Macaca fascicularis: one gene and its partners. The protein of the gene in region 1 interacts with the protein of each later gene in a pairwise test. Links are inferred from orthologs where the notes say so. Each region holds a gene or a part of one and is shown in the gene's direction. Other genes may lie near its edges.

Region 1 (3,750 bases):
GCAGGCTTTCAGTCAGAATCCAACACTTATTTTAGTCTGTGCATGGCTCACCCATTATTTTACCACTTCCATCCGCACCTCTTTCCCACACTGTGCACTTGTCTTAGTCACAGTTTTGCTAAGCCCACAAGCTAAGCCTAGCCTAGCCAAAGTGAGTGAAAAACAAACATTACTGGACAGCTTCTTTGAAAATGGGGAAAACCCAATGATGAGACAACAGAAGACTCTAAAACTGCTAAAAAAAATAAAGCCACATTTAAAGGAAAATGCCAAGAGTCCTACTTAAATTACAGGTTCACTGCAACAGGTGGTTCACATTCTCCAACCCTGCTTTGTATAATATGTGATGATCGACTATGCAATGAAGCCTCGAAACCTGCAAAACTGCTTTGCCACATGGAGACCAAGCACCCTGCGTTAAAAGACAAGCCTTTGGAGTTTTTGTTTTGTTTTGTTAAAACAAACAAACAAACAAACAAACAAACAAAAAAACAGAAACCATGAAAACATGAACACAAAGAACACATAGAAGCAATTATTGAAGGCCACCATGTCATCAAATGTGTCTGCACTGACAGCATCATTATATATTACAATGTAACAATAATAGAAATAAAGTGCACAATACATACAATATGTTTGAATCATCCTGAAACCGTCTGCCACTCGACCCTGGTCCATGGAAAAATCCTCTTCCGTGAAACTGGTCCCTGGTGCCAAAAAGGTTGGGGACCACCGGTTTATCCAGGGTCATCCAGGTTGGAGTAGGGTCAGGAGATATGGGGAAATTTAGGCCAAAGAATTCAAAGTTACAAACATGTAGGATGAACAAATGGGAAGACCTAATGTACAACATGAGGGCTATAGTTAATGATCGTGGTATTCAGGATTTATGCTAAATGAGTAAATTAGAGCTGCTCTTGCCCCAAGGGGGGAAATGTGTAATTATAGGAGTTGATGGATATGTCATACACATAACTTAAATACAGACAATAAAAACTATTTTAGTTTAAAAAGGAACAATATTTATTAAAAAATAAGGTGAGCTCTTAAAAACATTTAAATAACTGCCTAAAAAAATAAAAAATAATATCACATAATTTAATAGAAGGAAAGAAAGAGCAAGACAGCAAGAAAGAAAAGGCACCATAAAAAAAAACAATTTTGACCACTCCTCATTTGTAGTCTAAGCTGCCTCTGCTTCCTTGCGTTGAAAAGCCACGGGCTTCCGAGGGATGGAGGTCAAAGTCAGAGTAAAGAAAGTTCCCGGGGGAGGCCACTCCCCAGCTGATGACTTTCCAGTTCCAGTTAGTGACAGAGTCCCAGTTCCTCTCCTTAACCACCGGTCAAAAGTCTCTGGAGTCTCTCCAATGAGCAAGAAAGCAAGTCGGGGGTAGGGGAGGGGCCTCACACCTGGTGGTGGGTGCAGTCCCTCCTCCAGCTTCTTCATCCTGCAATAGTCCCGCGGGTCCCCCGGCGCGAACGCGGGAACCAGGAAAAGGAAACCGCGTTGTGTACGTAAGATCCAGGAAACGAAACCAGTAGCCGCGGCTGTTGGCGCAAGGGTTACTCGCAGACCCTGTTCCGGCTGATTTCCGAGAAGGTTGCGCAGTAGCCGTTCCTTGCAGTCTAGAGGCGCAGGAGAGGAAGCCACCGCCTGACCCCGGCTCTCTAGACCTCGGCTCTCTCGGGAGCGGAAACAGCGGCAGCCACAGGTGCGCGAGCGGCTTTCTCTGCCGCCTCCCCGGGGCTCGGGCGCGAGAACTGCGCGGAGCCTGCGCTGGGGCCAGGGCCGGGATCAGGTGTGGGGGCCAACTTACGGGGAACGGGCGCGAGGGCCAGCCGGTTGTGTTTGCTGCTCTGGGGGTGGAGGATGTGGGGTGAAGGCTGGGGCCAGAAATGCAAGAGACCTCTGAAAGGGACCCTGTAAGTGGAGCAGATGCACGGCAAGGGGCCCCAGGCGGCCCAGCGGCACCTGGGCTCACCCAGAATCATTCGAATGAAAAGGGGTGTCCTGCCTGAAAACGCCTCGCGGGGCTCAGCTTCCCCTTAGCTACACTGCTCTACAGGCAGAGAGCGGCGCTGAATCCTGGGCAGAGACTGGGCTCGGGAGCATGTGCCAGCATAGTGGGGCTATTAGAAGGGACGGTTAATACAGCCTGCAAGCTGGCATTTATCAGTAAGTATTCACTGAAGTCCGCCTGGAGCCCACATCTATGCTAAACCCTCTACAATACTAGCTTGGAAAAGATAGCGGCGGTATCTGGCACGGTTCCTAAGACCATTAGCTCCAGTCAGGCTCCCCGACTTTAAATTTGGCCTCTACTGCTTCACATCTGTGGATTGTCAGCCACTTTCTTAATATATATTCTTTCCATTGCCTCATCTCTGAAATTGTGTAACTATTAAAAGAGCTACAGAGTATTATATGTGTTAATGTAAAGTTCTTAGAGCAGTGCCTGGCACTACAGAAAGTACTCAGTGAAAGTGAGCTTTTATTATTTTAAATATTTGACAAAGTTCCTGCTTCTCCAAGCTGACTCTCCGGTTCCCATGTGGTTTCATTCATGCACTGTTATTCCTGGAAGTCTTGGCATGGCCACTTCCCAGTTCCAGGAACAGGCAGTCGTTGTTTTTTTTCTGGCTTATCACATTGAGATACATGGTTACTACAAGTGACACTTAAACGTGTCAGGCAGTTTGGGGCCTCCTTTCTTGAACTTTTCCTAAGAGCAAACTTTTCCCTTAATGCCACCCGGTTTACAACCATAGTAGGGCTTTGAACAACGAGAAAATGCAGGGAAATGAAAGACATATAAAGGGAAATGAATGGATTTCTGCAGTTGGATAGCAAAGTGGCATGTGAAATAGCTGGTTTATAGATCAAACTGCCTTTAGATCTGTAAAGGAGCTTAGAGTACAGGTGGAGAGACATCAAATGTGTGTGAGCAGACCCTTATGTACCTCTCCGTCTTCATCTCTAAGAATGTCTCCCTCTTCTGCTCTGTAACCTCACTGGTCTTCCTTTCCTTGAATGAGGCATGTTCCTCCAGCTCAGGAATTCTATCTATGAAGTTCCCTGTCTCTATAATGCCCTCCAACACCCCACCCACCATACCTCCGTAGACTAGTTGATTTGAGATTTCCTTCAGCTCCCAGTCTGACTTTTCTTAAACCCCCTACCACTGTTTAAGTTAGTGTCCTGTAACCCTTTCTTGTAGCAACATTAATTTTATTGATAGCACTTAGAGTGTTTATAATAATCTATTACATTCTTAATTGTCTGTCTCCCTAGTGTCTAGGTATTGTGCTCTAGTGCCTGGTATAGTGCTTTGCATGCTCTATGCCTTCAATTAATTCCTTAAAAACCACACCAGCTTTATATTTAGTGAATATTTATATAGGAAGTATTTCTATATGTATATATGTGTATCTGTGTATATACACACTCTATAGCACTACCCTGAATAGTGCTAAATTAAAAAGCCAAAACACTTTTTAGTTAATCAGAACAGTTGCACTCTTCAGTTTTCCATATGTTCTTTTAATAAGTCATTAGAAAAAAATGATGTCTCCATATGTTGTCTGCTGCTGTAGCAGAATACCTGAGACTTGGTAATTTATAAAGGACAGAAATTTATTTCTTACAGTTCTGGAGACTAGGAAGTCCAACATAATCATGTGTTACTTAAAGACAGGAATACATTCTGAGAAATGCATCATGAGGCAATTTGGTGGTTGTGAGAACAT
Region 2 (3,650 bases), on another chromosome or scaffold:
CTAAGTCACTGTCCAGACTGGGCCCTCAGCCTTCCTGTCTACCCAATGGAGGGTCTTTCTGTCCACCTGGGAACAGCCTGATGGGACTGAAGCACAGCCCTTAGTTTCCAGATGAGAATTCTGGACTGGAGGCCCTGACATTCCAATTGCCAACACTGACTCTGGTGTTTGACAGAGTTTGGGGTACGTGGGAAACATGTGCCACTGGTTAAGGTCCTTAACTTCAGAATTTCCCTCTAGATCAATGCTTTTTAAATCACTACCTCCAACACCACCATCTCCTGTAGGAGCTTTCTGCCTTTTCCAGCATATGCTCCTGATCTGTTACTCAGGCACGCTGGTTATCCCATTTCATAGGTGGACACCTTGAGGCCTGAAGGTTGGTGACTGGCTCTACCTGACACCCCTGTGTGATTCTAGGTTGCCCTTTGCTCCTCTGGGCCTCAGCCTTTCTGTCTATGCAGTGGGGATTTCGGATCGCTGTTGTTCCAGAGTCTGAGACTATAAGGTCTGAGAGGGCCCTTGTGTGGAGTCACCTCTGAGCTGCAGGCAGGATTTCCAGGGCAAGGCCACAGCATCAGTAGGTACCTGTCTTTGGCCTATGAGCCACAGCCTAAGGCATGCCCTTCCTGACCTTGGCCAGATCATGCTAGAGTCCTCCAAGGCCTCCCCTCCCTTGTCCAGCCACCGTCTCTGCTCTACAGGGCTCCACTTTCACTTTCACGCTCCCAGGCTGTGGCTCTTACCCGTGCCGCGCTTTCACATCCGCTCACATCTGTGCTCCCAGATGCCAGCGTGACCCCTGACACGTGTGTGCAGCAGCCTGCAGCTGCCCCAAGCCATGGCTGATCACTGACTCCCAGCTGTGGGGCTTCACCATTACAGACGCCCCGGGGCTTCAAAGACTTCTCAGCTTGGAGCATGGCCTGTTGGGTATCAGGGCAGCTGTATAATAGTGGGTAAGTCACTGGCCTTTCGACTCAGTGTTGTCATCCATCAAATGGACATTAATAATTTCTACAATGAGAGCTCTTAACCCACGTTCTGGGGGTACTTACCTCTGAAGTTTTCTGCCAGTGTGCACATGTGCCCGCATGTGCACACACTCCCAAGCATCTGTTCAGTTCCTGAGTACAAGTGGGGTATTTCTCTTTCATTTGTTCTCAGCAGCTATGGCTTCTTGAAGGACAGAACCTGGGCTCTAAATAGTTCCACCTCCCGCATTCCTGGACCTTGAGTGGGAGGGGCCCAGCCCAGGCTTGAGAACTGCCTCCCTGTGTGGTTGTGGCACCATGGACACTCCTGACTTTCTCAGGGCCCCAATCTTCTGGTGACATAGCTGCTATTCAGACTTTCATCAAGAGAAACATTCTTCTCTTTGTGCATGAAATCTACTGGCGAGACTCAGCAAAACCCCCTGGGATCCCGAGGGTTGTGTGTGAGGCAGGAGATGCTGTGTTTTTTGAGGAATCCTTGAGGTTCCTCCAAGCAGTTTAAAAATCCCTGGGTGGGTGATTCCTCAGGGAGGTTCCATGTTTCTGTGACATCTGGTGAGTCCAGGTGTGGACAATATTTTAAAGTTCCGGTTTCATTCCAGTTTACTAGTTTCAAAAAGATACTTAAGCGTTCAGAGCATATTCCTGTTTGAATGACTCATTAGGATTTTTTAAACTTCAGTTCAGGTAGGAGACACCCTGGGCTGGGTTCAGTGACTGCCCCGGGTTTGGGGCTTGACTTGGTTCTGGTCCATGAGCAGAAACTGCCTGTTCTCCTTTATCCCCAGAGGCGACTTTGACCCTGTTTCCTTTTCTGTAAAATGGAGACAGTGATGCTTCTTTTATAAGGTTGTTGGGAAGGCCATATGAGAGAGTGGGGTCAAGCTGCCCTGGCAACTGCCAAGGCAGGAGCTAGATAGACAGTGGTTACCTCTCCCTCTTCTCCTGTAAATGACCAGCTGTGTTTTTGATGAAGCAGAAAGTTCAAGCAAGAAGACAGGGTGAGAATTGTTACACAGCTAAGTCAAAGGGGCTTTTGGGGTTCCATCTGGCACCTCAGCTTTCAGACTGGGGGGCCGGGATTCAGGGTACTGCCTGATTTCATGTCAGCTCATGCATGGTGTCTGGCATCTTGGAGCCTCCTCTTCTGAACCGTTTTTGTTTTCTTTTTGTTTCCCAGATGTTTGAGACGGAGGCAGATGAGAAGACGGAGATGTCTTTGGAGGAAGGGAAGGGGCCTGGTGCCGAGGATTCCCCACCCAGCAAGGAGCCCTCTCCTGGCCAGGAGCTTCCTCCAGGACAAGACCTTCTACCCAACAAGGACTCCCCTTCTGGGCAGGAACCCACTTCCAGCCAAGAACCACTGTCCAGCAAAGACTCAGCTACCTGTGAAGAATCCCCTCCAGGCCCAGACGCCCCACCCAGCAAGGATGCACCACCATGCCAGGAACCCCCTCCAGCCCAAGACCTCTCACCCTGCCAGGACCTGCCTGCTGGTCAAGAACCCCTGCCTCACCAGGACCCTCTACTCACCAAAGACCTCCCTGCCGTCCAGGAACCCCCCACCCAGGACCTTCCACCCTGTCAAGATCTGCCTCCTAGCCAGGTCTCCCTGCCGGCCAAGGCCCTTACTGAGGGCACCATGAGCTCTGGGGACCCACTAGCAACCACCGGGGACCAACCTGCGGCCTCCAGACCAGCCTTCGTGATCCCCGAGGTCCGGCTGGATAGCACTTACAGCCAGAAGGCAGGGGCAGAGCGGGGCTGCTCAGGAGATGAGGAGGAGGAAGAGGCCGAGGAGGGGGAGGAAGGGGAGGAAGGGGAGGAGGACGAGGATGAGGACACCAGCGATGACAACTATGGAGAGCGCAGTGAGGCCAAGCGCAGCAGCATGATCGAGACGGGCCAGGGGGCCGAGGGTGGCCTCTCACTGCGTGTGCAGAACTCGCTGCGGCGCCGGACGCACAGCGAGGGCAGCCTGCTGCAGGAACCCCGAGGGCCCTGCTTCGCCTCCGACACCACCTTGCACTGCTCAGATGGTGAGGGCGCCGCCTCCACCTGGGGCATGCCTTCGCCCAGCACCCTCAAGAAAGAGCTGGGCCGCAATGGTGGCTCCATGCACCACCTTTCCCTCTTCTTCACGGGACATAGGAAGGTGAGAAAGCTAAACGGGGAGGGAGAAGGATACATGCAATGTGGGGAGGGCTGGCCCAGGGGCTGCAGGGAATGAGCAGTCACCGTGTTCCACCCCCACTGTCCCAGCAGCCTCCCAGCGAACCTTCCACCTGTTGGACAAAAGGTAAAACTGAGGCCCAATGGGACCAAGAAGGCAGAGCCTGGACTTAAACCCATGACTTTAGGACTCTAGATGCTGTGTTCTTATAGCTCCACTGGTCCCCACAGAAAGCAGAACAGGTGTAGCTTAGCCCAGGCCATTGTGTATTTGGATTTAAAAGATCTGAGGTAGTAGCTGGAGAAATAGAGTTACAGCTTAGCCAGGCTAGAAATCCATCAGCCAGTCACAACGACAACACACATTTATTCCATATCCGCATTATCCTAAGCAGTTTACATTAACTCATTAACTCTCACAACGGCCCTTTGAAGTAGATAGTATTTTGGTGCCCATTTTACAGCAGAGGAAACCGAGGCAAA
Region 3 (3,650 bases), on another chromosome or scaffold:
GGTGCTGGGGGTTGTGCCCATCACCACCCTGGGCCCCCACAACTACTGTGTGATTCTCGACCCTGTCGGACCGGATGGCAAGAATCAGCTGGGGCAGAAGCGTGTGGTCAAGGTGAGGTCCCTACACCCCCCACAGAGGACTGTCCTGGGAGATGTATGCCCTCTAGTGGCAGGAGGCCCTCTGCCCTCTCTCCCTTCTCCTCCAGAGGCACGTTCTGGGAATACCTTCTGTGCCTTTACACGCTTAGTTCTTACACGCCTGAGACACTGGCCCATTTGGTTCCTGGCAGCCTCTAACTTACCCCTCAGACCTGAAGTTAATTCCCCTTCTGGGAAGGTCTCCTGGCTACCCTCTGCCTGAGACTCTGAAACTCTCTCTGATACAGTCATGTGCCACTTAATGTGGGGATACAGTCTGAGAAATGGTCCTTAGATGATTTTGTCTTTGTGCAAAAGAGTGCACTTATGCAAACCTAGATGGCACAGCCTACTATCACCTAAGCTAGATGGTGTAGCCTGCTCCTAGGCTGCCAACCTGTGCAGCATGTGACTGTCCTGAATACTGCAGGCAGCTGAACACAATGGTAAGTACTTACGTAGCTAGCCATAGAAAAGGTAAGAAAAACACAGTATGAAAGCTTCATTATCGGCCAGCAAGTGGCTCACGCCTGTAATCCCAGCACTTTGGGAGGCCAAGGCACGTGGATCACTTGGGGTCAAGAGTTCAAGACCAGCCTGGTCAACGTGGGGAAACCCTGTTTCTACTAAAAATACAAAAATTAGCCAGGTGTGGTTGTGGGTACCTGTAATTCCAGTTACTTGGGAGGCTGAGGCACAAGAATCACTTGAACCCCGGAGATCAAGCCTGCAGTGAGCCGAGATCGTGCCACTGCACTCCAACCTGGGCGACAGAGTGAGATTATCTCAAAAAAAAAAAGAGCTCCATTATAATCTTACGGGACCACCATGTGCAGTCTGTAGTGGACTGAACCATCACGCAGTGACTATACTTCACATCTTTTATATTCTGGTGTGCACTTTGCTTTGTCATCTTTCGTAAAACAAACCTCTTGGTTTACCCTCTCCCACCCCCTACCTCATCCCCTCTCTGAACTATATGTGGGAATACCAGGAGTTGCCAAACTCATTCTGTAAAGGGGGCTGGATGGTAGATATTCCGGGCTCTGTGAGTCATCGTTTCTGTGGAAGTTCTTCAACTCTGCTGTTATGTCAGGAAAGCAGCATGGGCAGTACGTAAACAAGTGAGTACTGCCATGTTTCTGGAATATTTTATTTGCAAAAACAGGAGGCAGAAAAAGTAGAAATAGGCCAGGCACGGTGGCTTACACCTGTAATCCCAGCACTTTGTGAGCCCAATGCGGGTGGATCACTTGAGATCAGGAGTTGGAAACCATCCTGGCCAACATGGCGAAACCCCTTCTGTACTAAAAATACAAAAAACAATTAGCTGGGCATGGTGTCAGGCACCTGTAAACCCAGCTTCTCTGGAGGCTGAGGCAGGAAAATCGCTTGAACCCGGGAGGCGGAGGTTGCAGTGAGCTGAGATAGCACCACTGCCCTCCAGCCTGGGTGACAGAGAAAGACTGTCTCAAAAAAAAAAAAAAAAAAAAGTAGAAATAACCCAAATGTACATATTTAATGAATGGATAAAAAATTGTAGCATATTCATACAATGGAATATCATTCAGCCATAAGAAAGAAATGGCAGGCTAGGCGCAGCAGCTCGTGACTATAATCCCAGTGCTTTGGGAGGCCAAAGTGGGAGGATTGCTTGAAGCCAGGAGTTCGAGACCAGCCTGGGTAACATAGTGAGACCCCATTTTTACAAAAACTTTAAAAAATTGGCGAGGCACGGTGGCACACCTGTAGTCCCAGGTACTTGGGAGGCTAAAGTGGGAAAATCGCTTGATCCCAGGAAGTGGAGGCTATAGTGAGCTAGGATTGTGCCACTGTACTTCAGCCTGAGGCAATAGAATGAGATCCTGTCTCTAGGAAAAAAGAAAAGAAAAGAAAGAAATGACATACTTATAGGTGATACAACATGGATAAAATTGAAAACGTTATGCTAAGTGAAAGAAGCCGGCCGGATGCGGTGGCTCACGCCTGTAATCCTAACACTTTAGGAGGCTGAGGCAGGCATATCACCTGAGGTCAGGAGTTCAAGACCAGCCTGGCCAACATGGTGAAACACCATCTCTGCTAAAACACAAAAATTAGCTGGGCATGATGGCGGGTGCCTGTAGTCCCAGCTACTGCTCGGGAGGCTGAGACGGGAGGATCCCTTGAACCCGGGAGACAGTTGTTGCGGTGAGCTAAGATCCCACCACTGCACTCCAGCCTGGGCTGCTGAGCGAGACTCCATCTCAAAAAAAAAAAAAAAAAAAAAAGCCAGACATGAAAGACCACATATTGACATATTGCATGATTCCATTTATATGAAATGTCCAGAATAGGTAAACACATAAAATAGACTAGTGATGGGTGGGGTGGGTGGGGAGTAGAAGTAACTTCTAGGTACAGGATTTCTTTTCAGGGTGATGATGAAAATATTCTAGACTTAACATAGTAGTGATGGTTGGACAACTCTGAGTATACTAAAACAACTGAATTGTGAATTGTATACTCTAGGTGGGAAAATTTCATATGTGGATTATATCTCAATAAAATTAAAAAAAAAAAAAAAAAACAGGCAGTGCTGGGCATGATGGCCCACGTTTATAATCCCAGCACTTCGGGAAGTTGAGGTGGGCAGATCGCTTGAGTCCAGGACTTTGAGACCAGCCTAGGCAACATGGCAAAACCCCATCATCTACGAAGCACACAAAAATTAGCTGGGTGTGGTGACGCGCATCTGTAGTCCCAGCTCTTTGGGAGGCTGTGCTGGAAGGATTGCTCGAGCCTGGAAGGTTGAGGCTGCAGAGAGCTGAGATCATGCCACTGCACTCCAGCCTGGCCAATAGAGCAAGACTGTCTCAAAAAAAAAAAAAAAAAAAAAAAAAGGCAGAATCCAGATTTGGCCTGAAAACCAGAGTTTGTTGAGCCCTAGGTTACACCATCTCTAGAAAACAAAGCCTGGGAGAAAGAAGAAAAAACAGGTTGATTTTTTTAATGGTTTAGCGTGCGTGGATCCAGGTTCTGACAGTTTATGGAATCTTTCAAGGACACGTTTGAGCAGATGAGATTCGGCAGACGTTTGTGTAGAGCCTCACAGTCCAGACGGTGCCTCACTGTATTATGATGTGGGGGTGGTGGCGGGCTTCTGGGGCTCCTGTCCTCCACACAGGCCTGAGACAGCGCGGGGCTGGGGAGGTGCCATCGGAGGCACCCGCAACCCTAAAGGCCCTGCCCCTAACCGCACGTCTCCCCACTAGGGAGAGAAGTCTTTCTTCCTCCAGCCGGGAGAGCAGCTGGAACAAGGCATCCAGGATGTATACGTGCTGTCGGAGCAGCAAGGGCTGCTGCTGAGGGCCCTGCAGCCCCTGGAGGAGGGGGAGGATGAAGAGAAGGTCTCACACCAGGCTGGGGACCACTGGCTCATCCGTGGACCCCTGGAGTATGTGCCATCTGCCAAGGTGGAGGTGGTGGAGGAGCGCCAGGCCATCCCTCTAGATGAGAACGAGGGCATCTAT

Evidence for each region.
Region 2: the proteins of PLSCR1 (region 1) and RGS3 interact in binary tests that used the Homo sapiens proteins (3 or more experiments, as listed by UniProt). The two-hybrid records come from large-scale screens. The link is inferred for Macaca fascicularis from reciprocal best matches to the Homo sapiens genes PLSCR1 and RGS3.
Region 3: the proteins of PLSCR1 (region 1) and MVP interact in a two-hybrid assay, tested with the Homo sapiens proteins (2 studies listed by BioGRID and IntAct). The link is inferred for Macaca fascicularis from reciprocal best matches to the Homo sapiens genes PLSCR1 and MVP.

The regions. Positions count from the first base shown.
Region 1 is NC_088376.1:49,353,522-49,357,271, reverse strand, and holds the start of PLSCR1 (phospholipid scramblase 1), read left to right. Parts: upstream 1-1,574; 5' UTR 1,575-1,715; intron 1,716-3,750. UniProt on the Homo sapiens protein: Catalyzes calcium-induced ATP-independent rapid bidirectional and non-specific movement of phospholipids (lipid scrambling or lipid flip-flop) between the inner and outer leaflet of the plasma membrane resulting in collapse of the phospholipid asymmetry which leads to phosphatidylserine externalization on the cell surface.
Region 2 is NC_088389.1:44,526,693-44,530,342, reverse strand, and holds part of RGS3 (regulator of G-protein signaling 3), read left to right. Parts: intron 1-869; exon of another isoform or gene 870-959; intron 960-2,175; coding exon 2,176-3,150; intron 3,151-3,650. UniProt on the Homo sapiens protein: Down-regulates signaling from heterotrimeric G-proteins by increasing the GTPase activity of the alpha subunits, thereby driving them into their inactive GDP-bound form.
Region 3 is NC_088394.1:28,264,078-28,267,727, reverse strand, and holds part of MVP (major vault protein), read left to right. Parts: coding exon 1-112; intron 113-3,392; coding exon 3,393-3,650. UniProt on the Homo sapiens protein: Required for normal vault structure. Vaults are multi-subunit structures that may act as scaffolds for proteins involved in signal transduction. Vaults may also play a role in nucleo-cytoplasmic transport.